Anolis sagrei: one gene and its partner. The protein of the gene in region 1 purifies or fractionates together with the protein of each later gene. This does not show direct contact. Links are inferred from orthologs where the notes say so. Each region holds a gene or a part of one and is shown on either strand. Other genes may lie near its edges.

What was found.
Region 2: the proteins of HSPD1 (region 1) and SIRT3 purify together in Homo sapiens (affinity purification with mass spectrometry; 3 studies listed by BioGRID and IntAct, counting the BioPlex papers as one, with this or other methods). This does not show direct contact. The link is inferred for Anolis sagrei from reciprocal best matches to the Homo sapiens genes HSPD1 and SIRT3.

Annotation. Positions count from the first base shown.
Region 1 is NC_090021.1:178,706,167-178,722,344, forward strand, and holds the start of HSPD1 (60 kDa heat shock protein, mitochondrial), read left to right. Parts: upstream 1-7,120; 5' UTR 7,121-7,236; intron 7,237-11,709; 5' UTR 11,710-11,711; coding exon 11,712-11,885; intron 11,886-13,592; coding exon 13,593-13,845; intron 13,846-14,834; coding exon 14,835-14,917; intron 14,918-15,204; coding exon 15,205-15,300; intron 15,301-15,830; coding exon 15,831-15,924; intron 15,925-16,178. UniProt on the Homo sapiens protein: Chaperonin implicated in mitochondrial protein import and macromolecular assembly. Together with Hsp10, facilitates the correct folding of imported proteins.
Region 2 is NC_090021.1:237,801,759-237,818,131, reverse strand, and holds the start of SIRT3 (NAD-dependent protein deacetylase sirtuin-3, mitochondrial), read left to right. Parts: upstream 1-8,025; 5' UTR 8,026-8,341; intron 8,342-8,348; exon of another isoform or gene 8,349-8,453; intron 8,454-10,434; exon of another isoform or gene 10,435-10,512; intron 10,513-10,518; exon of another isoform or gene 10,519-10,705; 5' UTR 10,706-10,725; coding exon 10,726-10,801; intron 10,802-11,500; coding exon 11,501-11,684; intron 11,685-12,918; coding exon 12,919-13,116; intron 13,117-13,810; coding exon 13,811-14,043; intron 14,044-14,228; coding exon 14,229-14,329; intron 14,330-14,686; coding exon 14,687-14,848; coding exon of another isoform or gene 14,849-14,881; exon of another isoform or gene 14,882-15,034; intron 15,035-16,252; coding exon 16,253-16,373. Other genes in the region: PSMD13 (26S proteasome non-ATPase regulatory subunit 13), read right to left, coding at 523-648, 737-816, 1,770-1,941, 3,154-3,240, 3,481-3,524, 4,069-4,124, 4,221-4,255, 4,575-4,653 and 1 more.

The DNA of each region.
Region 1 (16,178 bases):
TGTAGTACTTTTCCTTGCGACTTTTCTGGGAGCATGATGCCTCCTTTCGTTACAGTCTCTGCTATGCATCTTTCAACCAGGACTCGGTCAAACAGCGGAAGAAATTTTTTAAAGGCCTGCCCTGCCTGTTAAGATAAACCACAAAGCAATGTGATTCTCAGCTACAAATCATGTGAATCTATCAGGAAATGATTCTACTCTTTACAGCGAATATGACACACAGAGAGGAAGGCAGTCTGGAAAATGCTCAGATTCATACAACTGCTCTGTGGACAATGAAGCTTTGTGGAGGTTTTAACTAAGGCAACTTAAACGGGGGTATTTTATTCAAATGACACCAGCTACAGAATAAGCAACAAGAATGATTGACAACTGGAAAATAGAGGGAGAAACCGTGGAGGCCGTGACAGACTTTGTATTTCTAGGTGCAAAGATTACTGCAGATGCAGACTGTGGCCAGGAAATCAGAAGACGCTTACTTCTTGGGAGGAGAGCAATGTCCAATCTCGATAAAATAGTAAAGAGTAGAGACATCAGATTGGCAACAAAGATCCGCCTAGTCAAAGCCATGGTATTCCCTGTAGTCACCTACGGATGTGAGAGCTGGACCTTAGGGAAGGCTGAGCGAAGGAAGATCGATGCTTTTGAGCTGTGGTGTTGGAGGAAAGTTCTGAGAGTGCCTTGGACTGCGAGAAGATCCAACCAGTCCATCCTCCAGGAAATAAAGCCCGACTGCTCACTGGAGGGAAAGATACTAGAGACAAAGTTGAAGTACTTTGGTCACATCATGAGGAGACAGGAAAGCCTAGAGAAGACAATTATGCTGGGGAAAGTGGAAGGCAAAAGGAAGAGGGGCCGACCAAGGACAAGATGGATGGATGGCATCCTTGAAGTGACTGGACTGACCTTGAGGGAGCTTGGGGTGGTAACGGCCGACAGGGAGCTCTGGCGTGGGCTGGTCCATGAGGTCACGAAGAGTCGGAGACGACTGAACGAATGAACAACAACAACAGAATAAGCCTTCCTGGAGGTTTAGCTGTACAGATTCAGCATAATAAGAATGGAGAAAACACGAAGGCTATTAGCACAACATATTTTGTGCTGTCCTGTGACTCCACATATGAAAAATGGGGAATCAGCAGAGTGGATATAACCCATGAGCAGAAATGATGTGATTCCTATCCAGTATCTCCACTTCTATTAATTTCAATCATTAATTGGGAGAAGAGGGAAAGAGCAGGAAAAATGCAACTCTCCAGATCTTGCTGGATCAGACTCCCATAATTCTTTCCCAGTACAGCTGAAATGCTGGAAGTTGCAGTCTGGGAATATCCGAAGGGCTGCACTTTGCCCAACCTTGTAAAGAGGATTATCTGAAGGTATTTAAATGTGTTTCCTGGCCCTGCCAATACCTTCAGCTGCACCCACTGCTGGAATTTCTCCTCTGGGCACTTTGAAAAAAGGCCTCATACATTTCGCCCTGGAGAATAATTCGTTGCAAAATGAACATCCTTATCAGAGATCAAAGTAGCCAAGACTCCCTGAGTGATCTTATTTGAAATGTTGTTGGTCAAATTACTAAGTCAAATTTAATAATTAATTCACAAATATTGGATTGGATGAAATTATAGAAATGTGATAAAAATGTTGTATTACAATTAGTATCAGAAGTGGAGTGGGCAGATCAAAAGACAACCTGGCAAAATGGCACTACCTAGAAGAATCCTCCATCTTGTGTGACTGTGGAGCAGAACAAACAACTCTGCACCTATAAGCTTGCCCACAATGCCCTGCCTCATGCCCAGAGGAAGAATTGTTTAAAGCCACAGACAATGTGGTTGCTGTTTCCCATTTTTGGACAAAAACTATTTAGATGCTTGTGCTCCCTCTATCAGTTTTTTATTCTTATTTATGCAATGCTTTTGACACAAAATTATATATATATAATTATTATGAATTTCAACTAAGACCAAATATATAATCAAGAATGCCTCTCAGTGCATTCCTAGTTTTGACTTATTAACCTGCAAATGAATAATCTGGAAAAGAAAACAATGCAGTTAGTAAGAATATGGTCCTGAGTTTAACTGTTAATCACCACAAGGAAATTATTAACTGCAGAAGTGTATTCAGCATTATCAGCACTCTGAACTTTGAATTGTAGAATATTCATTAACTTTTGTAACCGTCCTTTCCGTTTTCCCATTTGGATTTGGATGCCTCAAGTAGCTTAATTATAGACTTTTCTGTCATCTTTAGAAAGCAAGTCAATACTTTTTATTGCCAACATTATTTTTCTTTTTGTGATGTAAAACAAACCTGGATTTCCAAACAGGCAGTAGAGAAAAGATAACGAACATGGAGAGTAGCCACTGATTTTAGTTAAAAAGTAAACTAGACAATGTTGAGAAGGAAATGATCCAATGCAGATGGCCCTGGCTGTTTTCCCAGTCCCTCCCAGCTTCCTCCAGGCTTGTATAAAAAAAGGCACTCATAGAAGCAGCTAGAAAATAGGAGAAAGGCCAGCATAGCTGAACCCATTAGATGTCGCTGTTGCAGAGGCAGTGATTGGGAAAACGGATTTTCTATCAGGCAGAACAAAGGATCAGTTACTTGAAGGACAAAGTGTCCTACTGAAGACTTTTAAATTTTGTTCACGACAAGAAATAATTTCTGCATTTTTATAAAGCCTTTAATGCTGTGGCTAACAGTTAAGTTCAGTCCATAAAAATAACAAGAATTAATCATACAAAAGGGAATTGCTAACCAATCTCTACAGTTATCTTGTAAAACAATGTTAAAGCTAAAAATAAATCCTACACAAACATATCTCCCTAATATCTAGCTACCAGTCCATAGGGCAGATATGGAACTTTGTGGTGTTGGCCCCTTCCACACAGCTTGATAAAATCCACATTGGACTGGATTATAGGGCAGTGTGGACTCAGATAACCATATTTTATTTAAAAGTTTCAAAACTCGTTCCCCTACTAAGAATTCTCACTCTTAAGTAAATAAGCAGTTTAAACGGCAATTACTATTGACAAAGTCAGCTAAACTTCTCTGGAATCAAGACTGTATCCAAAAAATGCAGACAAGTAAACTCCTTATGAGCCAGCGTGAGGTAGTGATTTGAATGTTGGGACTTCAGCTTTGGGGACCAAGATTATTTTCCTTCTAGTAATGGAAACCCACTGGGTGACCTTGAGCCCCAGAAACCCCTGTCATAAACTTACCTTGGGCCACCTTTAAGTTGGAAAGGGCTTGAGGGCACACAACAAACTCCTTACACTTGGAAAACTGAAAATGCTCTTTTTTAAAACACTACCGTAGTTGCCACCAATCTCTCATCAAGCACCAAATCCATTTAGATATGTGCACTACATGCTTCTTTACCACCACTGGGGCAAAAAGTAGATCCTGCACACTGAACGGCTGCAGAACATTAATCCACGTGTTCTGACCATCATGTGATCTTAGGCATTTTCAAACCTTAGTTAAGTTTGTCTCTAACCATGAACCCCTGCCTTCCATAACAATGTGTTTCCTCATGTGTAGGTTCCCACTTGAGAAAACAGATTGCAAAATTAAAGGATTTTGTCAAGTGTATTGAGTAAAAGAAACAATCAGAGGGCATGCAATTACAAGGCTGCTCAGAAATACTTCAAACACTGTAATGGAAATATTGGTGACCACGTATTTATTTATTTATCATTTATTTTGTTTATGGAGACTCAAAGTGGCACACAGCAAAAAACATTTCAACACAACTTAAAATATACAAATATTAAAATGGTTTTTAACATCATTCATATTAAAACAATCGAGGTTAAAAACATAAAAGCATATAAAATCACACCCCAAGGCCAAGATTTCTTAAACTGTGGATCCTAACCCCAAATGGGGTCCCATTAGCTCAATGCTGGGTGTCACAAAAAAGTAAAAAGCCAAAACATGGGCAAAAGTAAAAGTCTTCTGAGGGGCCTTCCACACAGCCATATAAACCAGAATATCAAGTCAGAAAATCCCACAATATCTGCTTTGAATGGGATTGTCTGAATCCACACTGCCATATATCCCAGGTCAAAGCAGATAATGTAGGATTATCTGCTTTGGGTCTGAATGCAAATCTATTAGTAACCAGGTGTAGTGCTTTCAGCCAATTGCAAAAAAGGCTTCATAAAAAGGAAATTCAGCCTGTTTAGCAAGCCCTGCAAGTGCAAATTTGTTAGCAGTAAATGTTGTATTTGTATACCTATTTTATATACCTATGTACCTGAGGTAATTTTTCAGCTGCTGTGGCTGAATGACCATCTGTCAGGGATGCCTAGACTTCTGTCTACACTGCAATATAAAATGAAGATTATCTGCTTTGAACTGGATTATATGGCACTGTAGACTCTGGGTCCTTCCACACAGGTGAATACAATCCCACGTTATCTCCTTTGAACTGGGATATATGGCAGTGTGGACTCAGATAACCCAGTTCAATGCAGGTATTGTGGGATTTTCTGCCCTGATATTCTGGTTTATATGGCTGTGTGGAAGGCCCTCATGTTATCCAGTTCAAAGCATATAATATGAGTTAGCTTCTTTGCTCATCTGGATTATATGGCAGTGCAGAAGGGGCCTTTGATTGTGTGTTCCTGTCTGGCAGAATGAGGTTGGAGTGGATGAGCTTTGGGGTCTCTTCCAAACTCTAGGGGCCCTTCCACATAGCCCTATATCCCAGAATAACATGGCAGAAAATCCCACAATATTGGTTTTGAACTGGGTTATCTGAGTCCACAGTCAAATAATGTGGGATTTCCTGCCTTGATATTCTAGGATAGAGGACTATGTGGAAGGACCCTAGGATTGAATAAAATATCTGGAAGGGTCAGTTGGTGTGAGTTTTCCGGGCTGCATGGCCATGTTCCAGAAGCAGTTGCTCCTGACCTTTCACCCACACTTAAATGCAAGGCCATTCAATGCTAATCAAGGTGGCCAATTGCAACATTCACACGTACCTCAAGCAGACAAGAGTTATTTCTCCCACCCTGGACATTATTCCACAGATATATAAACCCCACTTGCCTAGTTTCCAACAGACCCTTCATCCTCTGCCATAGATGTGGGCGAAATGACAGGAGGGCATGCTTCTGGAAAATGGCCATGCAGCCTGTAAAACTCACAGCAACCCAGCAATTCCGACCATTAAAGCCTTCGACAACACATCTGCAAAAGTATGCCCTCACCATCAGACATATCCTGACAGGAAAGATCCTTGTTGGGTTAGCTTGGAGTTTTTACATCTCCATGCTGCGTCCTTGAACCTTCTTCTATTCGCAGGAAAACCACGGAAATAGCACAATTTCTTTTGGAGGCTGTAGTGGCTGTGATAAGAGAACCCCCTCCTTTAGTATCCCCACGTGTAACTCATAAAGGGGGTAGGAGACGCCACAAAGGCCATCTAGTCCAACCCCAGAGGGCCCTTTTGGGTGGTCTCTCATTTATGTGAATCCATGGGCCCTTCCACATAGCCCTCTATCCCAGAATATGAAGGCAGAAAATCCCACATTATCTGAATGTGAACTCAGATAACCCAGTTCAAAGCAGATACTGTGGGATTTTCTGCCTTGATATTCTGGGATAGAGGGCCGCGTGGAAGGGCCCATGGATTCACATAAATGAGAGACCACCCAAAACTATAATTGCCCTGCTTAGATCCTGAAAACTCAGCACTATAGCTTCTTTGATTGAATCGTCTTGTGGTTGTGTGCCTTTAAGTAGTTTTTGATTTATGGCAAACCCAAGACAATCCTATCATGCGGTTTTCTCCATGCGGTGTCCTTGAACCTTCTTCTATCCGCAGGGGGAAAAGGAAAAAAACACAATTTCTGAAAACGGGGGCTCTTTTGAAGGCCATAGGTCCTTTCCTTCCCTTCCTTCCATGATATGTCTGGGTGATGATTATTATGCTATGTCTCCATGCTGTGCAGTCCTGGAAGTTATGGTTTCCCAAAGACCATATCCTTCTTTTGGTGCACTTACACTATGGAATGAATGCTCTTGGACCCCACTTTAAATATCATAGCTCCTTACTATGTGGTCCTGGGAATTATAGTTTCCCAAGGTCCATACCTTTCTTTGCCTTCAAGTAGTTTCTGATTTATGGCAAACCCACGACAATCCTATCATGCGGTTTTCTCCATGTTGTGTCCTTGAACCTTCTTCCATTCGCAGGAAAAAAGGAAAAAACACAATTTCTGAAAACGGGGGCTCTTTTGAAGGCCATAGTGGCTGTGATAAAGAGAACCTACTCCTCCAGTATCCCCACGTGTAACTCATAGAGGGGGTAGTAGGAGATCCACAAAGGCCATCCAGTCCAACCCCAGAGGGCCCTTCCACACAGTCCTACATCCCAGAATATCAAGGCAGAAAATCCCACATTATCTGAACCCAGTTCAAAGCAGATATTGTGGGATTTTCTGCATTGATATCCTGGGCTGTGTGGAAGGGCCCATAGAGAAGGACCACATATTTTTCCCCCTTCCTCCCTTTGCCTTACCATGGCGCGCGCCCTTCTGCTCTTTCCTCCTCGCGACGGCTCGCGCGCTCCGTCCAATCCGCAGAGAAGGAACGCACGTGAAAAAAAGGAAAGCGTGGCACACTGCGCATGCGCTCGCCACACCCCGTCCGGGATGGGGAACTATTGCTTCCTGTGGCTATGAAAGAGGGAACCGGGGGGGGGGGCGAGAAAGAAAACACCCTTTGGATGTATAATTAGTCAATTTCACACAGATCCTTGGCCGGGTTGCTTTGCTCACTCGCAATCCTCCTAGTTTTAATACTTTTCTCTCAGGGGGCAAAGGGGAAAGGCAGGGATGGCCTCCGGAAGTTGCGAAATGCTTCCCGCGACCTTTGGCGGAGCATGGGCCTACCAGAAAATTCTCGAACCCGGCGGCCCCGGAATCTGAATAAACCACACAGCGCGCGAGGCAAGCCTCGGCTGGCCCCGCCCACAGACTCACTCGCAGGAAAGTTGCGCCTGGGTGACGTCACGGCGGGAGGGTGTGCGGTTAGGCTGGTTCCGGGGCCTCTCCCATGCGGCCGGAGGGAGAGGGGAGAAGGGGGCGGGGCCGGAGGGTGCAGTCGCGAGACGTGAGAGTCGCGCGCTGGGGTTGCGAGCTGCGTGCGCGCGTGGCTCAGCAGCAGCTTCTCTGCCTTCCCTTGATCGTCCCGCTGCTCTTGCAAGTAAGTCCTCACATAGTAGGGGGTGCAAAATAAGGGGAAAGTCTCGGAGTTCTTTTCAGCCGTCACCCCTTCTGAGGAAAGTGGTACGGTCCGGCTGAGAGCGAGGGAAAGCGTGGGACTAGGGAATTGGTACCTTTGCGGGGGGGGGGGGGAATCTCTGAGTTTCCTTTTAGGTGTATTATGAAAATGAGTGTTGGTTTTATTTGCTTAGGAGTTTTAGAGTATAGCCAACGGAATAAAGGGTTGGACTGCGGGCTATATAAACCAGAATATCAAGGCAGAAAATCCCACGATATCTGGTTTGAACTGGGTTATTTCAATCCACACTTTGAACTGGGTTATCTCAATCCACACATTGAACCATATTCCAGTTCAAAGCAGATAATGTGGGATTTTATTCAGCTGTGTGGAAGGGGCCTGCGACTACTCCCATCCCCAGGATGATGTAATAATATCATAATGGCCTCTCAATACCATTTTAAGTGTTCTCACTACATGGTTATAGAATTTATAGATTATAGGGTTTATAATTGGAAAGAAAAGGCTAAATATCTCACAAAATGAAACATCCCACAGGAATGAGACATCCCACAGGGGGCAGTTTAAAGAAGTTATGATTCTGCAGCGTGGCTTCTAAGGCCCTTTCCACACTGTGGATTGTATACAGCTGTGTGGAAAGGACCCAACACTGCCATATTAAATCCAGATGATCTGCTCTGCACTGCATTATATGGCAGTGCAGACTCCTTTAATCCAAAGCAGATAAATGTGGACTATTTTCTTTTATAATCTGCATTATGTAGCAGTGTAGAAGGGAACTAAAAGTATTGAAGAGGCACGTGTTTCATTTGCCAGAGTGTGAGACAGGAGGCGGAATCTCTCACAAAACTACACATCCCAGAATTGACTTGGTTTAGAATTGGGCTGGTCCCCCCCCAAGCCCCACCTGTTATTTTCTCCAGCAGTAAGATGCAGTGATTGCTTATTTAATTAATGCAGTTTTCTAACGTTGGCAGTCTTTAGGAAGAGCTTGAAGATGTGGTTGTTCCAGTGTGCCTTCCCAGAATAGGAAACTCCAAGCATCATGTCTCAAATGCACATTACTAGAGATTTAAGATTAATTGCATACTGCATCTATCTCCAAAAACCATTTCACTTGATTATGTCCAGCATTTTTAAATATTTTAATAATTACATTTGGCCCGGCCTTAGATTTTAACTGTGTCGTGGTGTTATTGTTGTAGTTGTTATGCTATTGTTTTACTGTTGCATTTGGCCTCGGCCTCTTGTAAGCCGCACCGAGTCCTTCGGGAGATGTTAGCGGGGTATAAATAAAGGTTTATTATTATTGTTGTTGTTATTATTAAACAGAGGCTGGGCGACTAGGAACAATGGCTTTAAATGACAGGAAAGGAGATTCCATCTGAACATTAGGAAGAACTTCCTGACTGTAAGAGCTGTTCAGCAGTGGAACTCTCAGCCTCGAAGTGTGGTGCAAGCTCCTTCCTTGGGGGCTTTTAAACAGAGGTCAGGTGGCCATCTGTTAGTGATTACATGCATGTGGTCTCTTCCTCCTCAATGTTTCTGAGACAGGTTGATTACACATAGGAAGCCCTGGAGGTCATGAAGGACTTTCTCTTTGCACGCCTTTTGCGGGGGTTTCTTGTCTTGGGAGGTTATCATTAAATGATCAGGGTAGAAGGGGGCCTCCGATGAGCCTTTATGAGCCTTGATCTGTGTGTTACTTTTCAAATTTGGGTGCCTCTGGCTATGTAAGAGGAGGAGTCTGCAAAGGTGCTTGCAGCGCCGCTCTCCGGCCTCCAGGGGGCGCACAAGGCCTTTCTCTTCCTCTTTCCATTTGACCTTGTGCGGCGCGACCGGATGGCGAGGAAAGCGCACGTGGGGCCCCAAGATATGCTTGGCTTGCTCCTTGGACTTTCCCCTCTTCTGCCCACCCACACCGCCCCCTTTGCATCAAGTTGTACTCCCTTTCTTCTTCATTGCTTCATTTTATCTTCTACCCAAGTTAACCCATCTACCAGAGTCCATGCTCTTGCTTTCCTCTGACTTTGATACAGACTCAACCAGTTTTGAGATGAAAGGCGGGGTGGGGTGAAAGAAGTTGATGGTATTCAGTACTTCCATAAAGTTGTGTACCTTTTTGGAGTTGTTACCAATTCATACTCAGACAAACTCTCTATTCTGTTTAGAAACATTCTCTAATTGTTTTCATTCTTTGACTATCTCCATCCTTGCAGTGCATACCAAAAATCGTATAAAAGGCATGGGCAAACTTCAGCCCTCCAGGCGCCTTGGACTTCATATCCCACAATTCCAAACAGCTGGTAGGAGATTAAGTCCAAAACACCTGCAAGGCCAAAGTTTGCCCGTGTGTGAACCATAAGCTCCATATTTGGTGGATTCAGCAAGATTTGTTCAGCAATGAATGGCCTTGGTCTTCCTCTGAGGCTGAGAGAGTGTGACCAAGCCACCAAGTGGATTTTTGTGAGCCAAGATTTCAACCCCTGTCCCTCAAAATCTTGGTTCAATACATAACCACTACACCAGTGGTTCTCAACCTGGGGTCCCCAGATGTTTTTGGCCTACAACTCCCAGAAATCCCAGCCAGTTTACCAGCTGTCGGGATTTCTGGGAGTTGAAGGCCAAAAACATCTGGGGACCCCAAGTTGAGAACGACTGCACTACACCATCCTGGGTCACCTAAGATTAGTTTCAGTAAATTGTGCTTCTCTTTCCCCACCCCCCACTTCGGTCCAAAGGCAAAGAGATCATAGGAGGAAATGTGCAAAAGGGTTTTTTTGGAGGGGGGGGTGAAAAAGCTCAATGCATAGCTCTCTCAGACACCAACTGTAATAGACACTGTTGGAATGAGATACGGGGTCCATCTACACTCCGGAATTAATGTAGTTTGGGCCCATTTTTGCATCCCTGGTTCAATGCGATGGAACCCTAGGAGTTGTAATTTGGTGAGGCAGAGAAAGCACATTTCTAATAAGCCTTGAAATGGCAAAAAAAAAAAAAAAAGCCCACAGCAAGGTTCAGCTATATCAATGACACCTTCACCATTTGGAGCCATGGGGAAGAATAATAGAATCTAGAGTTGGGAGAGACCTCATGGTCCATCCAGTCCCTTCACCATTATAAACTGGGGTCCCTTCTACACTGCCATATAAAATCCAGATTTGAACTTGATTATATGGCAGTGTAGACTCATATAGGAGCCCCCTGGTGCTGCAGTGGGTTAAACCGCTGAGCTGCTGAACTTGCTGATCAAAAGGTTGGTGGTTCAAAGCCAGGGAGTGGCATGAGCTCCCACTGTTAGCCCCAGCTTCTGCCAATCTATCAGTTTGAAAACTTCAAAAAATGAGTAGATCAATAGGTACCACTCTGGCAGGAAGGTAACAGCACTTCATGCAGTCATGCCGACCATATGACCAAGGAGGCGTCTACAGACAATGCTGGCTCTTTGGCTTAGAAATGGAGATGAACACCAACCTCCAGAGTCAGACTCAACTAGACTTAATGTCAAAGGGAAACCTTTACCTTTTAGACCTCATATAACCCTGTTCAAAGCAGATAATGTGGATTATCTGCTTTGATAATCTGGATTATATAGCAGTGTAGAAGGGACGCTTATTTCAGGGCCCTTCAGCATAGCCATATAACCCAGAATATCAAGGCAGATAATTCACCATATATGCTTGGAACTGACTTATCTGAGTCCACACTGTCATATAACCCAGTTGAAAGCAGATAATGTGGGATTTTATGGAGCTGTGTTGAAGGGCCTCAGGATTTGTTTTCTAACCAAAAGCCTAGTGGGAATAAAATGCAGATCAAAAACAAAGTTGGTATTCAAAAATAACATTAAAAAAGAAATTTAAAACTCAACCAGTTAGACTTCTCTTTCAACAGTAGTGCAGTTTGAACGTCATAAGCATAGCAGAATAAAAAGTTTTTGCTTGCCAATACAGGGATTGCTGCTAAAGGGACATATTATGCCTTCTTTGATCTGTTAGTGGTCACGCTGTTCGGTTCGTGGAAGAACACTATTTGGGAATGCAGTGCTGCTGACACCCAGATAAAGTTTATGGAGCTATGATCAAACACAACTTTTTGGGATCACTTCAGGGCATAGGGAAGAGGTTGTAGGCCAATTTAGTTTTTATACCTCAAAGAGACCCATGGGCTCATTAATGCAAACGGACCTATGTCATACATTAATTAGCATTCCTAAAGGCAAGCAGTTTGCTTGGTGGTTCTTTCAGTGGCAAAATAACAGAGTGGAAAAGAGTTGATGTACGAGATTGGATACTTTATGTAATTAATTGAAGGCCACATAAGCTTGGAGTTCATGGTTACAGACTGCACTGAAGATTAGCCTCCAGGCTTGGGACACTAGGTACTCTGCTCATGTTGAAGCCTGTGTAATTTTTATCTCTTTGTTTATAGAAATGCTACGTTTGCCAACAGTGCTTCGTCAGGTGAGGCCGGTGTCCAGAGCACTTGCCCCACACCTTACAAGAGCCTATGCAAAAGATGTCAAATTTGGAGCAGACGCGAGAGCGCTCATGCTGCAAGGCGTGGACCTGCTTGCCGATGCTGTGGCTGTCACCATGGGACCAAAGGTACAGAGGTTAATTTTCATGGAATTGATTAAAAGTCTGGTTTTTTTTCCCGGTGGGAGGATTGAACATGTGATTAATACATCCTGATGTATCGAGTATGCTTACAAGCACTTAATTCATACCCTTGGACTCTTATTTTTAAGTTTTGCTTGTAAAGATACTGCAACTTAACATACTTGCCTGATGTGAATGAGTTTGTAGCAAGGTGAGTGAAATATGAGGCAACCTCACATTCTATGAGATTTCAGAGTGAAAAGAAGCAGGAGCAAACTGTATTGTGTGGGAGATTTACAGTGCCAGGACTACCATACAACATGGAATAGGTTTCTTTCCAATTTCCAACAGAAAGGGCTATTATAGCTTCATGGAGAATAAATGCAGTGGAGAATGTTCACTATCTTCTATGACTGCTGTAACCAGAAGTTTTGGTGATCTCTGTTGAGAAATGTAGCAGCTACTGGTACATTTCAAAATAAAAATAGATATCAATAAAATTACATTAATTGAGGCATCAGTAGGTTAAATGCTTTTGAATATTTACATAAAACTGTAATTTCAGATAAGACTTTCCAATTCTGATTAAACCATTATTATAACCACCTTCAATGTAAATGTGCTTATATATCCTTCCAATAATAATAGCCAAATAATAAATTATTATTATTATTATTAATAGAGTCTATAATGGAAATGTAATAATAACTAATAGAATAAAATAATAAATGTAATAATAGAGTAAAATCATAAATGTAATAATGATGGTGATAATGATGATGGTGATGACAGTAAAATAATAAATAACCTTGACTCATGTATAAGCTGAGGGGCCATCTCCAGAGGGTGTGGAGGGTACCCTGTGGAAATAAACATTTTAATTGTGTACTCTAAAGGAGCAAGGTAGCAGTTGAGGCTTATTCTTAATCAGTAAAAAAGATAAGTGGCGTGAGTCTAAGTTTACTATTAAGTTTTTGAAGTCTCTTGGTAGTTGTTGTTTGGTTGTTGATATTCCAGGTTTCCATCAGGTTCCTACTTTGTTTTATTCCCATTAGCCTCCATGCCTGCTTGTGGTTTCTTGGGCAGAGGTCCAAAGATTTGCTTGAGTACATTTTTAAAAATGTCAGGTGCCCAGAACTCCCTCTGCTGTGTTTTCCATGACCTCACATTCGGAAGAGACACTCAGAGAGCCAGGGAGATGTGTTTTGCAAGCTTCCTAGCAAAGCGTTTGTTGGAAGAGTCCCACCAATAGTCAAGAATGAATTTCAGAGACATTCCAGTTGGTGTATGTATCATATAAGCACCCACTTCTCAGATAAGTGTGGTTATCACCATCCCCTGTATCACCAAAGCTGGTCAGAGTACTTCATTGTATTCTTATTTATTGCTATGGTATCATGGTTGCTGGTTACTTAGGTTTGTGTTCTCTATTCCAGCAGCTCCATGAACATCCACATAATAGGAGCATTCACTTTATTTTATTCTGACTGCTGCTTGTCCTGGTCAACACTGATGTGTTGTTAATATATCGTGTGAATCACAGTATAAAGCAGCGAGCTGCCAAAAGGCTCTGATAGTATTGGAAAAAACCAAAAAGCTGTTTTGGATGCAAAACTCTCATTCTGGGTTGTTAAAAACAGTAAACATTAGCAAAAATTGTACACAAGGTGTGCAAACCTTTTTTTTAAAAAAAATCATGTGTTGCATTAACAGGGGAGAACAGTAATCATTGAACAGAGCTGGGGAAGCCCTAAGGTGACAAAAGATGGTGTGACAGTAGCCAAGGCCATTGACTTGAAGGACAAGTACAAAAACATTGGCGCCAAACTGGTTCAGGATGTTGCCAACAATACCAATGAAGAGGCTGGAGATGGTACCACAACCGCAACAGTATTGGCACGGTCAATTGCAAAGGAAGGATTTGAAAAGATCAGTAAAGGAGCAAATCCAGTGGAAATTAGGAGAGGTAACAATCTTGATAAAATTTGTCTTGCTTTGTGTTTTAATGGTCTGACTGTACAGTAAAAATTGAGTTGGGTAAAGTTTTTCAATGGAATTTGCATGACTCCACAACATTTAAATGCAGCATTCCCACCCCAAAGTGGCATCCTCCAAAGGTTTTAGACTATGTTTCCAGTTATCCATAGCAATTAGCCATCATTGTTGGAACTTGATGGAAGGCTTACTTTAAAATGTCTGAAAATTGCCTCATTACAAGGCTACTCTAGCACAGTGGTTCTCAACCGGGGAGTCCCCAGATATTTCAGCCTTCAACTTGCAGAAAACATAACAAGCTGGTAAGCTAGCTGGCATTTCTGGGAGTTGTAGGCCAAAACACTTAGGGACCCACAGATTGAGAACTATTGCTCTAGTACTTTCTGTCAAGTAATGTGTTGAAACTTCCCATGTTTAATATGGTTATGCATTATGTAACTGTGATGATATTTGTTAATAGGTTTGGGGGCTGAAGTCATATTAATTTATGTATTTGCCATCGTAAGTACTGAGAAGATTTTAAATTGGTGCCCCCAGTGGCACAGTGGGTTAAACCACTGAGCTGCTAAACTTGTTGACCGAAAGGTCGCAGGTTTGAATCCGGGGAGCGGGTGTAAGCTTCTGCTATCAGCCCCAGCTTCTGCCAACCTAGCAGTTTGAAAACATGCAAAATGTGAGTAGATCAATAGGCACCGCTCTGGCAGGAAGGTAACTGCGCTCCATGCAGTCATGTTGGTCACATTACCTTGGAGGTATCTATAGACAACGCCGGCTCTTCGGCTAAGAAATGGAAATGAGCACCAACCCCCAGAGTTGGACATGACAGGGGAAAACCTTTACCTTTTAGATTTTAAATTGTACTGTGAAATGCTTTTAATGTAAACCATTTTGAGTCTCCTTATGGAGATAAGGTGTAAATAAACATAATCATCATCTGATTGACTGTCATGTATTCCCCAGGAGTGATGCTAGCTGTAGATGCTGCAATTAATGAATTAAAGAAATTGTCCAAACCGGTCACAACTCCCGAAGAAATTGCTCAGGTAACACTCATTTCTTCATAAATAAATTGGTTCTCTTTTCCATCTATTTTCTCTCACAGAAGAGTTATGCTATTTAATAGGACTAGCAGAATGATATTTCTCTTTCTCGGGCTCCATCTGAACTGCCATATAATTCAGTTTAAGAATGCAGCTTAATTGCATTGAGTCTACACTGTCATGTAATGCAATATTTCAGATTTAAAATTTGTGCTGTGATAATTGTGGTTACTTTTTCTGTCCTCTGGCTTCAGGAAGAGAGTGAAGTTATATTTTTATTTATTTAACAGGTTGCAACAATATCCGCAAATGGAGATAAGGAAATTGGCAACATAATCTCTGATGCAATGAAAAAGGTTGGACGAAAGGGTGTTATAACAGTTAAGGTAAGAGGTGTATATGAGAATAAAAATTGCTGAATCCCCTGAACCATTTTAAGTTTTAGTTTAAGGTACATAGGCTTAAAAATCTAATAACCAAGTGTTAATATTGCAAAGTGATACTTGGAACAATGTATAGTGAGATAAGGTCTGTATTGCAAAGCCTGTTACATTATTGGATGTATCAATACTATTTTTAAGAAAAACCTAGTAACTGGCTTATGGGAGAAACTAATATTGTTAATCATTACTTCAGGGGTATTTAAGAGTGAATGGTTTGGATAGAGTGTTTAAATCTACTAGTTATTCAAATGACTTTCTCGTTCTTGGTAAAATAACTTCTTCAATATAAAATATGGCAAAGGAGAATGTCTGGCTTGAAACAAATGCATTGCCATACTGTTTGTTTATTTTTAAAATCCAAAGCAAGAATCATATGGCATTTTTACAGGTATTAGAATAATATAATACCTGTAAAATATAGTAGTAATAGAAATTACAGTTTGGTAATTTTCTTTTATGTTTTATTTAAATAGGATGGGAAAACTTTGAATGATGAGCTAGAAATCATTGAAGGTATGAAGTTTGATAGAGGCTACATTTCTCCTTATTTCATCAATACAGCTAAAGGTAAGTTAACATAACTGGAACAAAGTGTTGTAGTCTGTTCTCTTTGGTGTCCTCATGATTTGACTAAAGTAAAATAAGATTATTATTCTCTCTTTTCAATCAGAATTAGGGATGACTGCCAATACAAGACTCAGTCTTTGATAGTGTTTACATAATTAGTTCATGGGCATAGATTCTGTTTTCTGTCCCTTTTGGCACATTCGCTAAACATATATAGCTAGACAAATGAATACTGATATTTACATTGCATAAAT
Region 2 (16,373 bases), about 59 Mb from region 1:
TCCTTGTCATTTCATTGCTAAGGATAGGAGCCCCCTGGTGCTGACTGAAAGGTCAGCAGTTTGAATCCAGAGAGCGGGGGGAGCTCCCGTCCAGCTTCCTATGCAGGGACATGAGAGAAGCCTCCTACAGGATGGTAAAACATCTGGGTGTCCCCTGGGCAACGTACTTACAGACAGCCAATACTCTCACTCCAGAAGCAACTTAGTTTCTCAAGTTGCTCCTGACATTAAAAAAAAGCTTTCAATGTTTAAGGGATGTCCAGATGAATCCCTTAAAACCTTTTCATAAAGCCACAAGTAAAATGATTTACTCTCGCACTCCTCCCAAAGTATTTAGATAATGCCCAATGTAATGGGAAAACCTCAAACTGAAATTAGAAATGGGCTTTCAACTTATGTTTAATTAGAAGACATGTTAATGGTCATGTACAGTACTTTCATATTTTTCTAGTCCCTCACAGGCTGCAGAAATACCTGTTCACCTATTAGTTGCTCACTACTGTCCTTGTACCAGGTACTTACCTGCTGGCCCCATGCTGACTTCAAAGCCTGGAATTTCTCCACATTGCCGCTGTTGAAGGCATAAAGAGTATCAATCAGCCACTGTCTGTCAGTGTCCCTCAAAGACTCCAGCACTGGATGCATAAGCTGAGAATGGAAAAGAGGCAAGATGCTGAAATATAGCAGCCAGCTTCCTCTACCACAACAATTTAAACAGTAAAGTTCTGCTACTTACCAGTTCTCCAAAGTTATAGACTCCTTCACCAAGGAGTCCTGCCAGCCCCAATGTAAAAGCTCTCTCCTGTTGGTCTGCCACTGGGAGGAAAAATGTCCTCGGTCAAACAAAAGTTCTACAGTCCAGCCTTTTAGTATCTAAAGATTTCCCAAGCTCACAGTAGTTGATAGATTCCAGTAAGTGGCATCTATATCATTTTGAAATAGAAGTTGGATCACCAATATTTTCCATCAGCACATCTGTATATTATTTAATTTAAATGTAGATTTCCCCTAAAAGCAAAACAAATCTATACATGCACACACAATGCCAAATTCCTATGTACTAAAGGATCTTTAAAAAAAAAATGAAAACCAACTGAGATGGGTTTTTCTGCATGAAGGACAAAGAGAACCCTCAAAACTTTGTTAGTTTAGTTGTGGAGAGGGTGCAATTGTAAAAAAAAAAAAAAGGAATCATAAGTTGAAAGGGACCACATGGGCATCAGTCCAACTTCCTACCATGCAGGAAAAGCTCATTTAAAATACCCCTGACAGATGGCTATCTAGCCTCTGTTTAAAAGCCTTCAAAGACGAAGCCTCCACTATTTTAAAATAAGGAGTATTTCTAAAAATCCTACAGAGGTCTTATTCTAATAACTTTTGCCCTAAGTGGCTCCAGACACAGAATACAAAGTTTTTCTAGCCAACTAAAACTAGAAAGCTATAATACTTAGACCCCTGCTTCTGAAATACTAAATATCATCGTATAACTGATTCAATAAACAAATTACCATGATCAAGTAATTTTCTTCCCTGTTCTAAGCTTCATGTTCTGAGACTCAGAGGGCAAGCAATACTCTCAAGAATATAATAGAATAACTTTATTGCCATTGTACATTGCACAACAAAATTAAATGCTTTCCCCAGCACACATCACAAAAACCAACACACATCCCTCCACACTCCAACCACCACCATACAAGCTTCCACTTGATACAAATATCCATGAGTACAATTGCAATATGTTTAAGAACAGAAAAAAGGAACATTACCTGGTAGATCTCTGACATCTATACATCCCAGAAACCTTAGAGCATCCTTATAGTAAGATGCATGATTTCCGATTGTCTGATAGTATTTGCTGGAGAGGTCATAAAAGCGGCTATGAACAGATGTCACACCAGGCAGATTATTCAGCATCTCCTCAACTTCCTCTATGGTTTCCTAATGGAAATAGATGGGATATTGTCTCTTCATGTTGATCTCCAATGTAGCACAAATCCTATGTAAAATCATACTATATATTTTTGACATTAATATCGAAATCTGAAACATATACAGAAAGTCTTTATACACCAGCGTATGACCAGTCTTGTCACATTTCAATCTCTTAATATCACAAGGAAATTGCAGAAAATTCTCAAATAGTAAGGATGACAAGAAACAATAATATTTTAAAATAGGAAGAAAACGCTGCAGCTATAAACAGTGGCATAAATCTGATTCATTCAAAATGCAGGATACATACAGTCTTTTATTTATGCAATATATTGTGTCCCAACTAATCAAAGACAGAGAACTCACAGGTACAGAAACCTTTCAAGTTTGTTTGTGGCAAATTCAATGCTAGCCTTAATTTCTACAAAGAATGAATGCACTGAAAGATGTGCCTCTCAGACAAATGTGAAATGGTTACACTCTGTTATGGATTGTAGTGTAGGATTATAGTGATTATATATAGAATATACATAGATGATAACAGCAGAAAGAATCAATTAAATATCAAAAGTTATAATCTCTAGCCACTTAAGGAGAACTTATATCATTAGTTATACCTAATTATTACATCCTTAGTAACATACACTTGTTAGAAAAACTCACATTACAATTTTCAGTGCAGATTGAGAATTCCTTATCCAGAAATCTGACACCCAAAATGAAAGATTGTTCAGATTGATTGCTGACATAGTGACATCTTTTGCTTTCTAATGATTCCATGTGCACAAACTTTGTTTCATGAATATAAGTCTTAGAAATATTGTGCATAAAATTACTTTCAGGCTATGTGCAGAAGGTGTATATGAAATGTTGTGTCCAAACCTGGATCTTATCGCCAATATATCTCATTATGGATTCATATGCAAATGTAAATATTTCAATATTTTAAAAAAATCTGAACTCCAAAACACTTCTGTTCCAAGTATTTTGGACAAGGATACTCAACCTGTGGTGTGATATTTGCAGTAATACACATCAAAACTGAGCACAAGGATTGGACAGACCCTAATCTTTTCCAAAGAATTCAGTAACTAAAAGACCAACATATACCAAAAGACAGAAACACTGAGAACTAAGCATTGCACAAAATTTGCCAATCATGTGACATTACATATCTAGACAAGACACATTAACACTAAAATATAAATACTGTCTTACCTTTGTGACTTGCAGGTCACCAATATTTAATTTCAGGGCCCCAATGGCTGTTTTACAAAGAATCACAGCTTCATCACTGCTTTTCACCTGGAGCCACAACATAGAAATACATCTAAACATCAGTTAAAAGCTCTGTTAACTTTATTTTCTCCCTAAAAAATTGCTCAAGGCAATTTATCACTAGCAGTATCATTTTCACTGGGTTCAAAAACTGACTTTATTCCTGTTTTGGTCATTTCTTAGCAAATCTAGTTTGTAGGGTAGTTTGCAGATGTACAAGAATAGTTGCATGTATGGCTGATAGGCCTTTCATACAATCATACTTGCCTTTTCTCGGGTCTTTTCCAGAAAAGTAAGGGCCACATTAGGATCTAAAAAGGTGTAAGTGGAAATCACATTAAGGTTCACAATATTTCATCTTAGTCTTTCACTAAAATTCTTAGTACTGAGAGTCTGTTTTCACTGTGTTTTCCCTGGGGTAAATTTGATGGTGCTCAGGTCATCTTCCTCCCTTCATTCCCAGCAAAAGTGAATCATCAAACATTTACTCAGACCTTTGGTCTAAATGAGCTTCTGGTTTAATGCTCAAAGTCAGAGATTGGACACTCTTATCCAAATATTCACCCAGTAATTGTTTAATTTATTTCTGGGCTGTAAATTTCCTAAGGTCTGGAACACCCCTAGGGACAGACACTCAACATCTCCATTAATATCTTCTCACTATGAAATAATATATTGACCTTAAAAGCCCATACGTTTAATAGTTGCTATCAATAGAAATCTAAAAGTATGATTTGTTCTCCTCACCCAAGAGACAACTGTTGTCAGATTTTCTTAAAAATCTGTTGACATGTCTGCATTATGAACTATTCCACTTTGGAAAACACACCAAAACGAAAAAGAGAATGGTTTTACCTGTCATCTGCCGCACTACATGAAGAATAATTTCTACAAGGGACAAGGGGTTCACCCTAGAGTAAAAGAAAGAATATGCACAAATGAAGTCATGAACAGTAAATACAAAAATATAGGTTATTTTCATTTTAAATGAATGTTGGAAGTTTTACCTGTGTTCAAATTCACTGATGAAGTTCTCATATAACTATAAATAAAAAATAATCAATTTTAGCATAATATTATATTTGTTGGTCACAACTATCTAAGACAGGTATTTCCAAACTCTTCATGTTGGTGACACTTAAGTTTGCTATTATTCATTATTTTCACTATAGTAAGTCCAGAAACGTATCCCCCATGGATACTAAGTTTACTTCCTCTTCTCAAATACTGAGGAAACAGATTGTGTTTCTGTTTTACTAAAAATTCAAGTTTACTTAACAATTTCAAGGCATCTAAGAAGTGAAAATATTCATAATATAACCCAATATCATTACAATTTACTATAATACTAGGAACTTTACCTTGATGAGTCCATCTCCTTGGGCAAAGCAGGGATCCTGTACAAAATCCAAAACCTGGAGAGTCAGCTGGTGCCAGAGTCTGTAAAATAGAGAGAGGTACTGATGGGAACGGAAAATGCTAATATAGCAGTAGCTACTTGTAAAACTGGGTATTCTGGCTATCTGTAGAGGCACAAATTTTGTTATCTGTCAAAGATAAACGTACTTGTGAATTAAAAATCTAATTTGAGTAGGGTTGAAACAAAGACTAAAAACCAAATTAATTTCTCAGGAGAGCATGAAAAAAAACCCTGATACTTTATCAGGCTGCCAGGTTGAGTACAATTAAATATGGTTTGTCTATTTTTAGTTAAAGGTTTCTGGATCAGAAAATTTTGTATAAAGCTCTGACAGACAGAACTAAGCAACGCATCATCCTTTATGTTCTTCAGAATCCACTATTTAGCTACTGCATTGCTCCATCAACGTGATAATTTACTGGCTTCTGCAAAGCAGGTGGAAGCAGTGGAAGAAACATGAATGTGTTTGTTTCTATAGTTGGATGTATAGCACTGAAAATTGCTTGGAAGTGAACACAGCAAATCAATGTAGGGAGGATGAGGGAAGATCCAGTATTTGTGCTTTATCTGCTCCAGATCTAACTATTACAGATATAGGATCCCTGATGTGTAGTCAGCCTAGGGATTCTACTTTTGTAATTTTAGGTGACTGAGCAAAAAAACCCCCAAACACGACCCTTTAATGAGATCTGGAAAGTTGCTGCTAGGCATTATAAATACTAGGCTAGATAAATCAAAGCCTTGACTCATTATAGAGCATTTCATATACTCACGGTCACACTTTAATTATTACATATTATATATACATTTTATGCAAACATTTTATGGCAGAACACCCACACTGCCACTTTTCAATGAAACAAACAAAATAATTTTCTCATTTGTTGATGTTAGTTTAAAGTCTTTGTCATATACTGGAGCCCCACAGTTAACATGTTTTTGTGAAGCTATACTAGAGAAATGTATTTTCAAAGGCTTTCATGGCTGGAATCACTCATGGTAACCCTATACTAGGTGATATTTTGCTCTCGCGATAAAGAAGGAAAGGAAAATCTTCAGTTGTGAACAGACCAAAATGGGGTATATACTGCAGCCAGTGAGCCGAAAATACTCAGCAGTGTACGTCTGATCAAAAGAGCAAACTGTTAATGCACCACCAACCATAGGAGAACAAGGTGAAACATGTCAGTATAAAAATTCATTGAAGGATGCAACCATCTTCAAAACTTGTGTTTACAAAGATAATAAAGTCCACCTATAGGTCTCCAGAGTAAGGGGCGGGAAAACCACTTAAGGTAATCTAGGAGGAATTACCTTTCAAGTGCACAACTGAGCATATCTTATCCAAAATGATGTTCCAAAATCTGAAATTGTGCATGCATTTATTATTCCTTTCTTTCTTTCATTTATATACCAGTTTTCTCTGTCTCTGAGGCAATGGTTCTCAACCTGGGGGTCGGGACCCCTGGAGGGGTCGCGAGGGGTTTTTAGAAGGGTCGCTAAAAACCATCAGAAAACACAACATTTTCTGTTGGTCATGGGGGTTCTGTGTGGGACGTTTCACCCAATTCTATCATTGGTGCAGTTCATAATTCTCTTGATTGTAGATGAACTATAAATCTCAGCAACTACAACTCCCAAATGACAAAATTAATCCCCCCAACCCCACCAGTATTCAAATTTGGTCCAGTGATGAAAATACATCCTGCATATCAGATATTTACATAATAACAGTAGCAAAGTTGCAGATATGAAGTAGCAATAACAATATTTTTTTGCTTGGGGGTCACCACAACATGAGGAACTGTATTAAGGGGTCGTGACATTAAGAAGGTTGAGAACCACTGCTCTGAGGGGACTCAAAGCGGTTCACAACAAGGCAAATGGCAAAATTCAATGCCTCACAAAATATAAAATACAACACATAACTAAAATAGCATATAACAATAGATTAAAACCAGTAGACTCTAAAACATTAAACATGGCAAACATGTTAGTGGCAAAGATAGTGAGGCCTTTGCTTCCTGATGGTTCAATGTACACAAAATTTGTTTCATGCGCAAAAATATTTCAAAATATTGCATAAAATTCCCTGCAGGCCATGTATAAGTTAAATATGAAACATAATTGGATTTCGTCTCCAACATATACATACATGTGAATACAGGTATTTGAAAATACCAAAAAAAAAAAAATATCCAGCCCTGAAACACTTCTGGTCTCAACACATTTCAGATACAGGAAACACCATCTGTAGTGCACGCTTCTACAGAAAGGGGCAGGAAAACTGCATAATCTGGGTAGAGATAGCTTTTAATAGCATAAAAAGATTTGGGTTGTAGGTTTTTTTCGGGCTATATGGCCATGTTCTAGAGGCATTCTCTCTTGACATTTTGCCTGCATCTATGGCATGCTTAGATGCAGGCGAAACGTCAGGAGAGAATGCCTCTAGAACATGGCCATATAGCCCGAAAAAAACCTACAACAACCCAGTGATTCCGGCCATGAAAGCCTTCGACAATACATAAAAAGATTTGTCAAGGCTGAGAAACGGGAGTGAGCAAGACCAAATAGGAAGAGAAAGGGAAGAGGAAAATCAGAGCTGTATTAAGCACATTATAGGTCAGACATGGGTAAACTTGGGCCCTCCAGGTGTTTTGGACTCCAACTCCCACAATTCCTGACAGCCTCAGGCCCTTTACTTTTCCCCCTCAGCCGCTTAAGCATAAGTAAAGGGCCTGAGGCTGTCAGGAATTGTGGGAGTTGGAGTCCAAAACACCTGGAGGGCCCAAGTTTACCCATGTCTGATATAGATGCATCCACACTGTATAATGAATGGTTTGACATCACTTTTAACTGTCATGGCTCAATACCATGGCATCACGGGAGATGTAGTTTTACAAGATCTTTTAGCATCTTCTGCCAGAGTGATGGTTCCTCATCAAACTGCATTAATTTGGGGGGGAGGGGGGGTGTGGAAATCCAGCATCAGGATGTCCAAGACCTAAACACCTCCTGAGTGAGGCGCCTCGGAGGAAACACACCGAGCAGCCCCACGGCTTCCAAAGGCCACACGCGCCCGCCCGCCTGCCGGCCTGGGCCGCCCTTTTCCCCGCTCACTTTTTGTTGTAGAGCTCCTCCAGGCGGTGCCACACGGCGGCCTGGCCAGGCCCCGAGCTCTGGCTCTGCTGCAGGTAACCCGGGACGTCCTTCATGGCGGCGCCGGCAGCGGGAGCGACGACAGAACAGTGAGTGACCCCAAGAAGCCGCACAAGCAGGAGGCCGGGCCGCCCTGCCTGCCGCCGGAAATGCACACTCACTTCCGGCAGTGGCCGCGCAGGGCATGCTGGGTACCGTATGGCCCCGCATAGCCGCCGCCGCCGCAGCAGTGCTGGAGGAGGGAGGAAGGGAGGGCGGGGCTGGTCACCATGGTAACAGAGGCCTAGTCGCCTCTGTCGAGGCCTGCACATTCGTATAGGGCCTCCGCATCCATTCACAATGCCAGTCCCACAGAGAAGGACTGGTTGCCAAGGCAACGGCGGCCTAGACTCCTCCACCGGAGCCGGCGCTTTCCGATGGGGTCGAAGCTTAATTTCATTTGGCCGACCCCGCGTGAGGGGAGAGAGACCAGGCTGGGAAGGGGGGGGGGAATCGGTCCCCATGACAACATAGGCCTGCGCCTTACTTAGAACAGTAGAGCTTCTCTAAGTAAGTAAGAAGCCCCTTTCCGCCCCCCATATAGGCCTGTTGGGTGGCATTAGCACACAGCACACGTGTTTCGCTTGCGACAGTGCCTCTCTCAGGACAGAGGTGGCCCTAGGTAATTTTCAACTTTAAGCAAACACTATTTTGGCGCCCCCCCCCCCCCCCCCCAGCCAGTCACTGATATATATTTTCTGTTTGTCGTGGGAGTTCTGTGTGTGCCATATTTGGTTCAATTCCATCATTGGTGGAATTCAGAATGCTCTTTGATTTTAGGTGAACTATACATCCCAGTAACTACAACTCGCATATGTCAAGGTCTACTTTCCTCCAAGAGTGCCCCTGGGCAAAATTAACTATACTGCAAAAGCTTACTTTGTGTAATGGGTTGAGCCGCCCCTGTCTCAGGATAAGCAAGTTCAGTGTTGAGGGCTGTCGAAATTATCTGCGCTGTTACAACATTTTGAAGGCGGTAGCGAAAATGTATCCTTGAAGATGAAGTAGAGTAACACAGGTTTTGGACTTCACATCCCAGAATCCATGGTCCCCAAAACCTTTGGGAGCAGGCCTTCAGAGAATAAGGAAGGCAAGCTCCTGGCCCAGTAGGAGCCACCTTGGGAGAAAAACTAAACGTTTGGGAAAGAGGTTTGGGTAAGAAAAATGTAAAAATAAATAAATATCCTTTTCCCAATTCAAAAATACAAAAGGTAATAACTGCAGAACATTGGAAATTTAAAGCACCATTTCATATATTCGGGTTTGAAATTTGATTTTCTAAGTGCTGCGGATAATGAGGGCCTGTCGCCTGGCAAGATCTTCTAAATAATATTCTGGAAAGATCAGGACCCTCCAGCTGAAGGCAAACAACAAAGGCTTTATTTAATCTGTAGAAGGGATGCAATGTACTGTACACACAGTGGTTCATACCAAACTAAAAACACCTTGTCAAACATCCACAGGAAACAACAGCAAAAGCATGATTAAACAAATTGCAAGTTCCTCACAAACGTATACTGTAATTGAGATAGGAGAGGGTAATAAATTAACAGTGGAGAAATTGTAATCATGATTCTTATTTTGAGAGCCCCCCCCCCAACACCCACACACACACGGTAATTCTATGTATTTGCAACATTATTTGTACTTTTGGTTTTGCTTTTTCTATGTATATATAGTATTTTTCTTCAGCAGTTCAACATTGCCAAAATTGTCATCAAGCTATGCACAGTCATGACAGCATTTCTGACTTCTCATAGCATTTTCCTACTTAGCATTATTTCATTGATTCATTGTCCTAACATTCTCAAAACCACAGTATTTAACAGCTAAATTTGTACTGGGCATACCACGCTAGCAAGGCAATCTGTAAGAGGGACTTCAATTTCAGTTTTGGTTGTATTCATCCTAGGAGGAAGCATATTTGTGTGCTGACTGTATGCCCACTACCTAACAACTGATCAGCATTGTTAGCCTTGACAAAAAAAAATCACAGTTGTGAAAGAAAAGAGGATTATTCAAAACATTTATGGAATGAGATAATGCACTGAATAATTTCTAACTCTCTAAGGTCTAATATGATTTTCTGTGACGAGTTTCATCCACAGTAGCATGCTGTGATCTTATTTGATCTTTGGAGAGGTGATGTGAATATAGCTGCATCAAGGCAGAAGACTCAATTGTATGGATTTTATGATTTTCAGCAGCATGTGTTGGTCACCAGGAATCTTGCTTGTTTGGCTGTCTTGCTCAGTCCAGCAACATGAGCCACCTTTTCATAACTATAGATTGTATAATTAAAAATTAACGGTATCAGTGTTTATTTGAAATAAGATAAGACAAGGTCTTCTGGAAAAGTAGTGCTGTTCTGAGATCTGCAAAAAATCTCGATGCACTTAATAGTGCAAAAAACAGGCAAAGGTTTTAATTGCCTGTGCTTTAATACTGAGATTTTTGAACTAAAATATGCGAGCCTCCTTGGGAAATTACAACATTGAAAGATCTGATGAGATAAAGTAATTGTAATTTCCTAGTATCTGCTTTCTTCCTCTTGGATAACCTTTAAAAGGCTAAGCTATTACAAAGCATAAGCTAATTTAGGTTCTCCTATTAGGAACATTACGGTAAAGAGCTGTTCAGCTGTTCTTCCTGGCTGAAGATCACTAAAAGCAAACAGAAAGGTGGTTTGCTCTATGCTCTAGAAAATCTCCCACAACCTTCACATCACTGATACAACAAGGGGGAGGAGGAAGACGAACAGGGTCCTGTCCAGCTGTGTTGGTGGAACCATTAATTTTTTCAGAAGCAGTAGAAGGAAAGGCATTCAGAAACATATCAGACAACTTTCTCTTGCATTTCTTATTTCTTGTACAGGACCCAGCAGTGAACAGGGAATGAACTGGCGATTACATTTCAGAGTCTCAGTAGCAAAGCATGTACTTCGTGCTGCAAGTTTTGAGAGGTTAATGGGTGAGTAGAAGACTAATTCAAGGGAACAGTATGTTATCTAAAAAGGGCACCCTGAATATTGGGAGGAATATGAAGAGCTGGAATGGAAAATCCCACATATGTGTATGTAAAATCTTTTTTAGTATTAAACGAAGAAAAGTGAATGCAGTGTTATGGTGAATGAGACCATTGGTCCAACTTCCTCTGTACAAAGTAGTGACTGCTTTAATTGCATCTCTTCAGGATCTCTGGAAGAAAGAAGTCTTTCTTGACCCTGCTGCAGCCTGAAATTTTAAAATTAGCAATGTCACAACCTGAATTTATACATTTCTTCATTCAAAGCATATACTACTTAACCCTAGTTCAGAATTGAAACTGCATTACATTTATGCTTGTTAACAGAAGTTTTGGTAAGCAGAATGATTTGTAATTCTACTATTATCTCAACAGTAAAAGGAGAATTAAAATGTAAGACCCCTCCCCACCTTTGTATTTTTCTTTATCTTTTCTCTTAGCATGCATAGATTAGTGAGCTCGTACTTGGGGCAAAATCCTATTTCTTTGCCTGCCCAGTAGCAAACACATCGTAGACAATAGTAATGTATATTCCAGAAAACAGTCAGCTATATAAAGTTTGAATTAACTGAGTGGTTTTTCCTTCTGCGTAACATTTCACATTCTGCATTTGAAAATAATTGTTTGTTTGTTTGTTTTTAAAAGGTTGGAGGTATTTCTGGATATGTGCTCAGCAGTCCCATTACAGGAACTCCTTTATTTCTATAGCACACAAAAATATGACCCTCATTTCATTAAGACCAAACTTTTCTCCTCCAAATGGACATGTCTTACTGCAGAGGATTCCAGGAGATAACATTAGCAAAATGTCAAGCATGTTTGAAGACAGGTATGAACTCATGTTTGCTTTTTGTACTCTTTCTACTATGGGTTTTCATTCTGGCATGTTTCCTGTTAACTTGCTGAATTATAGTAATTCCTGATGCATATTAAATGTCCATGCTGAATCTGATAATCTAGGCTAGTCTTATGTTTCCAGTCTCAGTTTGAGAACTCTGCAAGCCGATGAGCTCAGGTCAACTTATACCAGTCTAAAAGAATTTCTTTATAATCAGGGTTGGAGAACTTGAAGCCCTTCCGATTCTACACTGCAACACACATCATTGGTTGTGGGATTTGCAGCTGAAGAAGCAGAAAGACACAACATGATCACTTAGAAGTTTACCTAAGGGCTTATGGGATTGCTTAGGAAAAAGAAATATGTGCAAATTCCAAGACATATGCTTCCAAATAGCAGCTGTTATTTCTCTTATCTTTGTCCTTCCTGCTTCAGTCATGAGAATCGTGTCCCTGCTTAGTGCAAAAACCATCAGATCCAGCTCCTCTTGCTTCTTTATATTGCCAAGCACACTCCACCAGTATCCTGGACCTGTCAAATTTGCCATTGTTATTGCCACTCATTCTAAAACAGTGCTGAGAGTATGAACCCTGGAAAATACTAATTGTGATTCAGAATGCACAAGATCTGTGTTTCTGTAGAGTACAGCTGGATTAAGTACTTCCAAAGCTGATTTCAGATTGAACAAGGCTTTGAGGAAAGTGCTTTCCAGAAGCACCACCACTTTTGACCTTACCAGGGGACAGTTAATAATGGACACCAGAGGAGGTAGATAATAGTCCTGGTACCAACCAGCTGGCATTCTCAGCCTAATGCTATGAAGAGATATAATGAGTAAAGCAACTGTTGTTACTGCCATCTTCTTCCCCCTGTCCAACACTTTCGAATTCCACCCCAATGTGTAAGTTGGACCTACAGGCATTGGAAACAAGCAGGCAATTGCTATCCTTGTTGCCCTGGAAGAATGGAATCCATCAATGGCATTCCAAACTCAAAAAAGTATGTGAGAAAGACTCTATAAAATATACTTCTGATTACATCTGAAAGGATAAGCATTGTCAGAAAGACAAATTGATTTGTATCCCCATGTATAAAGCAAGTTTGCAAGACCAGTTTTTAATTTCCCTAATACTTGCTCAGACTGTTTTATCCTAGCTTCAGTAATTCCATTTTGGTGAACAGTGTTCTTTTGTAATCTCTTGCATATTTATTATATTGCTGGCAGGATCCAAGGAGTCAGGCACTTTTCCCTATCCACTTCACCAATGCTGTTCTTTGGAGCTGGCAAAGGGGGAGACAACAGTGGAAAAGAGAAGCTCACCCTGAAAGATGTGACAGAATTAATTCGAAAGAAAGAATGCCACAGAATAGTGGTAATGGTTGGAGCAGGGCTCAGCACTCCCAGTGGCATCCCTGATTTCCGGTAACACAAAAGCTGAAATGGAGGCCTTGCCCTCTTAACTGCACGAGCATTGCCCCATGGCTACCACCTAGGCCCCAGTTAATGTTGTTTCAAACTGATATTGAAGAAAGTGGTTTTACTATGTAGATGGATATGTAGAAACACTGGAACTGGTCTGAAGCCCAGATGATGATTACATACCACAAAGCATTGATGTGCATTAAGGTTTTCTTTTGCACGCTTCTGTGGGAGTTTGTTGTCTGGCCACTGCAGTTTGAATCTGGTCAGTGTAGATGGGGACCATGTTGGGTCTTTATCTGTAAAAGATATTGTCAGCAGCCTTCACATTAGTCACATGAGGAGCAGAGCATAGGCAGAAAAAGGAGACTTGGGTGCTTTTAAAAATTATTAAGGGTAGTTTCCTTTCTTGGCAGGGTACAACTTTTTTATTTAATGTGAATGTAACAATCCTATGTTTTACTTACATTTGTATTGTATGTATACACTGAATGTCTATGTATTTAGATACTTTTGTATTACTGCAATTAGTGGATACTGGTCTTTCTAGGGTATTACATTAGATCAGTGTAAAGGGCCTTGATCCTACTCACCCACTCACTCTCACAGAGAGAGATGATACCTTTCAGGGGCTTACTTCCCTAACATATTCCACATCCCATTTTAACCCTCTCCCCGTTTTTTTCCCTTTTTGCAGGTCCCCTGGGAGTGGGCTATATAGTAATCTCCAGCAGTATAATATTCCATATCCAGAAGCCATCTTTGAACTTAACTACTTTTTTCACAATCCTAAGCCTTTCTTCTTGTTAAGTAAGGAATTGTACCCAGGCAATTACAGGCCTAATTATGCCCACTACTTCCTCCGTCTTTTGTATGACAAAGGGATCCTGCTGCGCTTATACACCCAAAACATTGATGGACTGGAAAGAGGTAAGCTGGAGACAGACACGCACTAGAGTCTTAGACAAAAGCCAACATGGAGGCCCTGTCAGTCTGTAGCAATGAGATTTTGGGTTGTGGGATTGGTAGTGTCATCCACTTTACTGAACTGTAACTGTGGTTGATGGAAGAGTTTGGCTCAACTGATCTTCTTCTCTCTGCCTTTTGTGTTCTAGTTGCAGGAATTCCTCCAGATAAACTAGTTGAGGCTCATGGCACATATGCTACAGCAACATGTACAGTCTGTCGAAGATCATATCCTGGTGAGGATTTCAGGGTAAGAGAAAATACAACATACACCCCCTTCAGGACTAGCAGAAGCATATTTCTAATATTGTTTTATTGTTTACCTGTGGGGCATTGAATTTTTGCCAGATTTGCAAGCCACCTTTAGTCCCCTCCAGGGTTGAGAAAGGTGGGGTAGAAATGAAGTAAATAAATCAATATTAAAAAGGAGATTACACTGGTCTTAAATCCCTGGAATTTACTTTTGAAGCTCTTTCAGGGTTGCTTTTGGTTTCATCAGAGCTTGGCACGTACAGAGTGTGGATTGTCTTTTCAGGGAATATGATGTCACAGTGTGTCATAGTGTCTTATATATGTTTATATTCTTTTACTTGTTCTTTTGTTTCAGGGGGATGTGATGGCAGAGAAGATTCCCAAATGCCCCATCTGCACTGGAATAATCAAGCCAGACATAGTGTTCTTTGGGGAAGAGCTCCCTCATCGGTTCTTCTTGCATGTGACCGATTTCCCTATGGCAGACCTGCTATTTATCATTGGAACCTCTCTTGAGGTCTGGGCTGTCAGAAACATGGGAAGAGAATGAAAGCTGGGTTGTCGAGACAGATTGGTTCAGGGACTCTGAAATGTATAGAGTAAACAATGAGAATGCAAAAAGAGAGACACAGTGGCTGTTAAAGAAACCAACAAACCCCAATGTATTTTAGGACATGTGAGAGACAAGTTATAAAAGAGCTTGGTAAGCATGGATTGAATTCCTAAGAAAGGATTCTTAACTATCGAGTAATGAAGAAAAGATGAACAACTTCTAACAAATTCTGAGCTGGAAAAGATGAATCTGGTAGTCACTAGGTGATTCCAGAAATAAGGTTGATATCCGATAACAATTAGATATGCACAAAAGAAAAAAAAATAGGAGGTTCTCAAAATATTTCCTCTGGGGGCCTTTCCACACAGCCCTATATCCCAGAATATCAAGGCAGAAAATCCCACAATATCTACTTTTCACTGGATTATCTGAGTCCAAACTCAGATAATGTGGCATTTTCTGTTTTGAATTTCTGGGATATAGGGCTGTGTGGAAGGGGCCTGAGACACTGTTGCTTGAAATAACACTGGAAAGCCATATTTTCTCCATCCTATACAGATTCTGTCAGGTACAAGTGGGGAGGGGAGCAATATAGTTCTTGCATACATGAGCAGTAAGAATCAGATGATCTGAATAAGAATATTCAGTTCTCTAAACAAGAACTTTACAACTCTCTTTGAATGAATGAATGAAATGAATGTGTGCCCGGTGTATTGTAAAGAGAGTGACCTATGAGGCAGTAAAACCGGAATTATTATTAGCTCAGCTATAAACTCATATTAACAGTTGTCTTAAACCAGCCACTATCTCAAAGCACTGGCTGAACTGTGACATACAGATTATTATTATTATTATTATTATTATTATTATTATTATTATTATTTGTACCCCGCTAGCATCTCCCGAAGGACTCGATGCAGCTTACAAAGGCCAAGGCCTCAAACAACAGACAATAACAATACAATGCAAGCAAATTAAAAAGCAATAACAAAAACAAAACATTACACTATTATGCAAAAAAACCAGGGCTGGGCCAATGAAGGGTACAGGTTAAAAAAGTGCTGGGTGTAAGAGGTGATATGTTGGGATTCTGGGCAAGTGCAATGTGCAGAGTCTTAAGCTCTAATAAAGTGCTTCTGGGACATAGTGTTCTTTATGTCAGCAGACTAGTTTATCACACCATCTATGTTACTTTAAAAGTATTTGAGTAGGCAATGAGAGGGACACCATACTGTAGTTTATCATTTGAGGCCTTGCCATTGATTTCTGACAAGAGACCAAGTAGCAAAGTGCTGTCAAATTCTTTGGTGCTGTGACCTTTGATCTGGGACTGATAATAGCCTTTTCCTCTTGATGTTGGAATTTTAGGTGGAACCCTTTGCTAGTCTGTCAGGCACAGTCCGTGCTTCCGTTCCCCGTGTGCTCATCAATCGGGACTTGGTGGGGCCATTTGCATATCAGCCGCAACATAATGACGTGGCTGAACTGG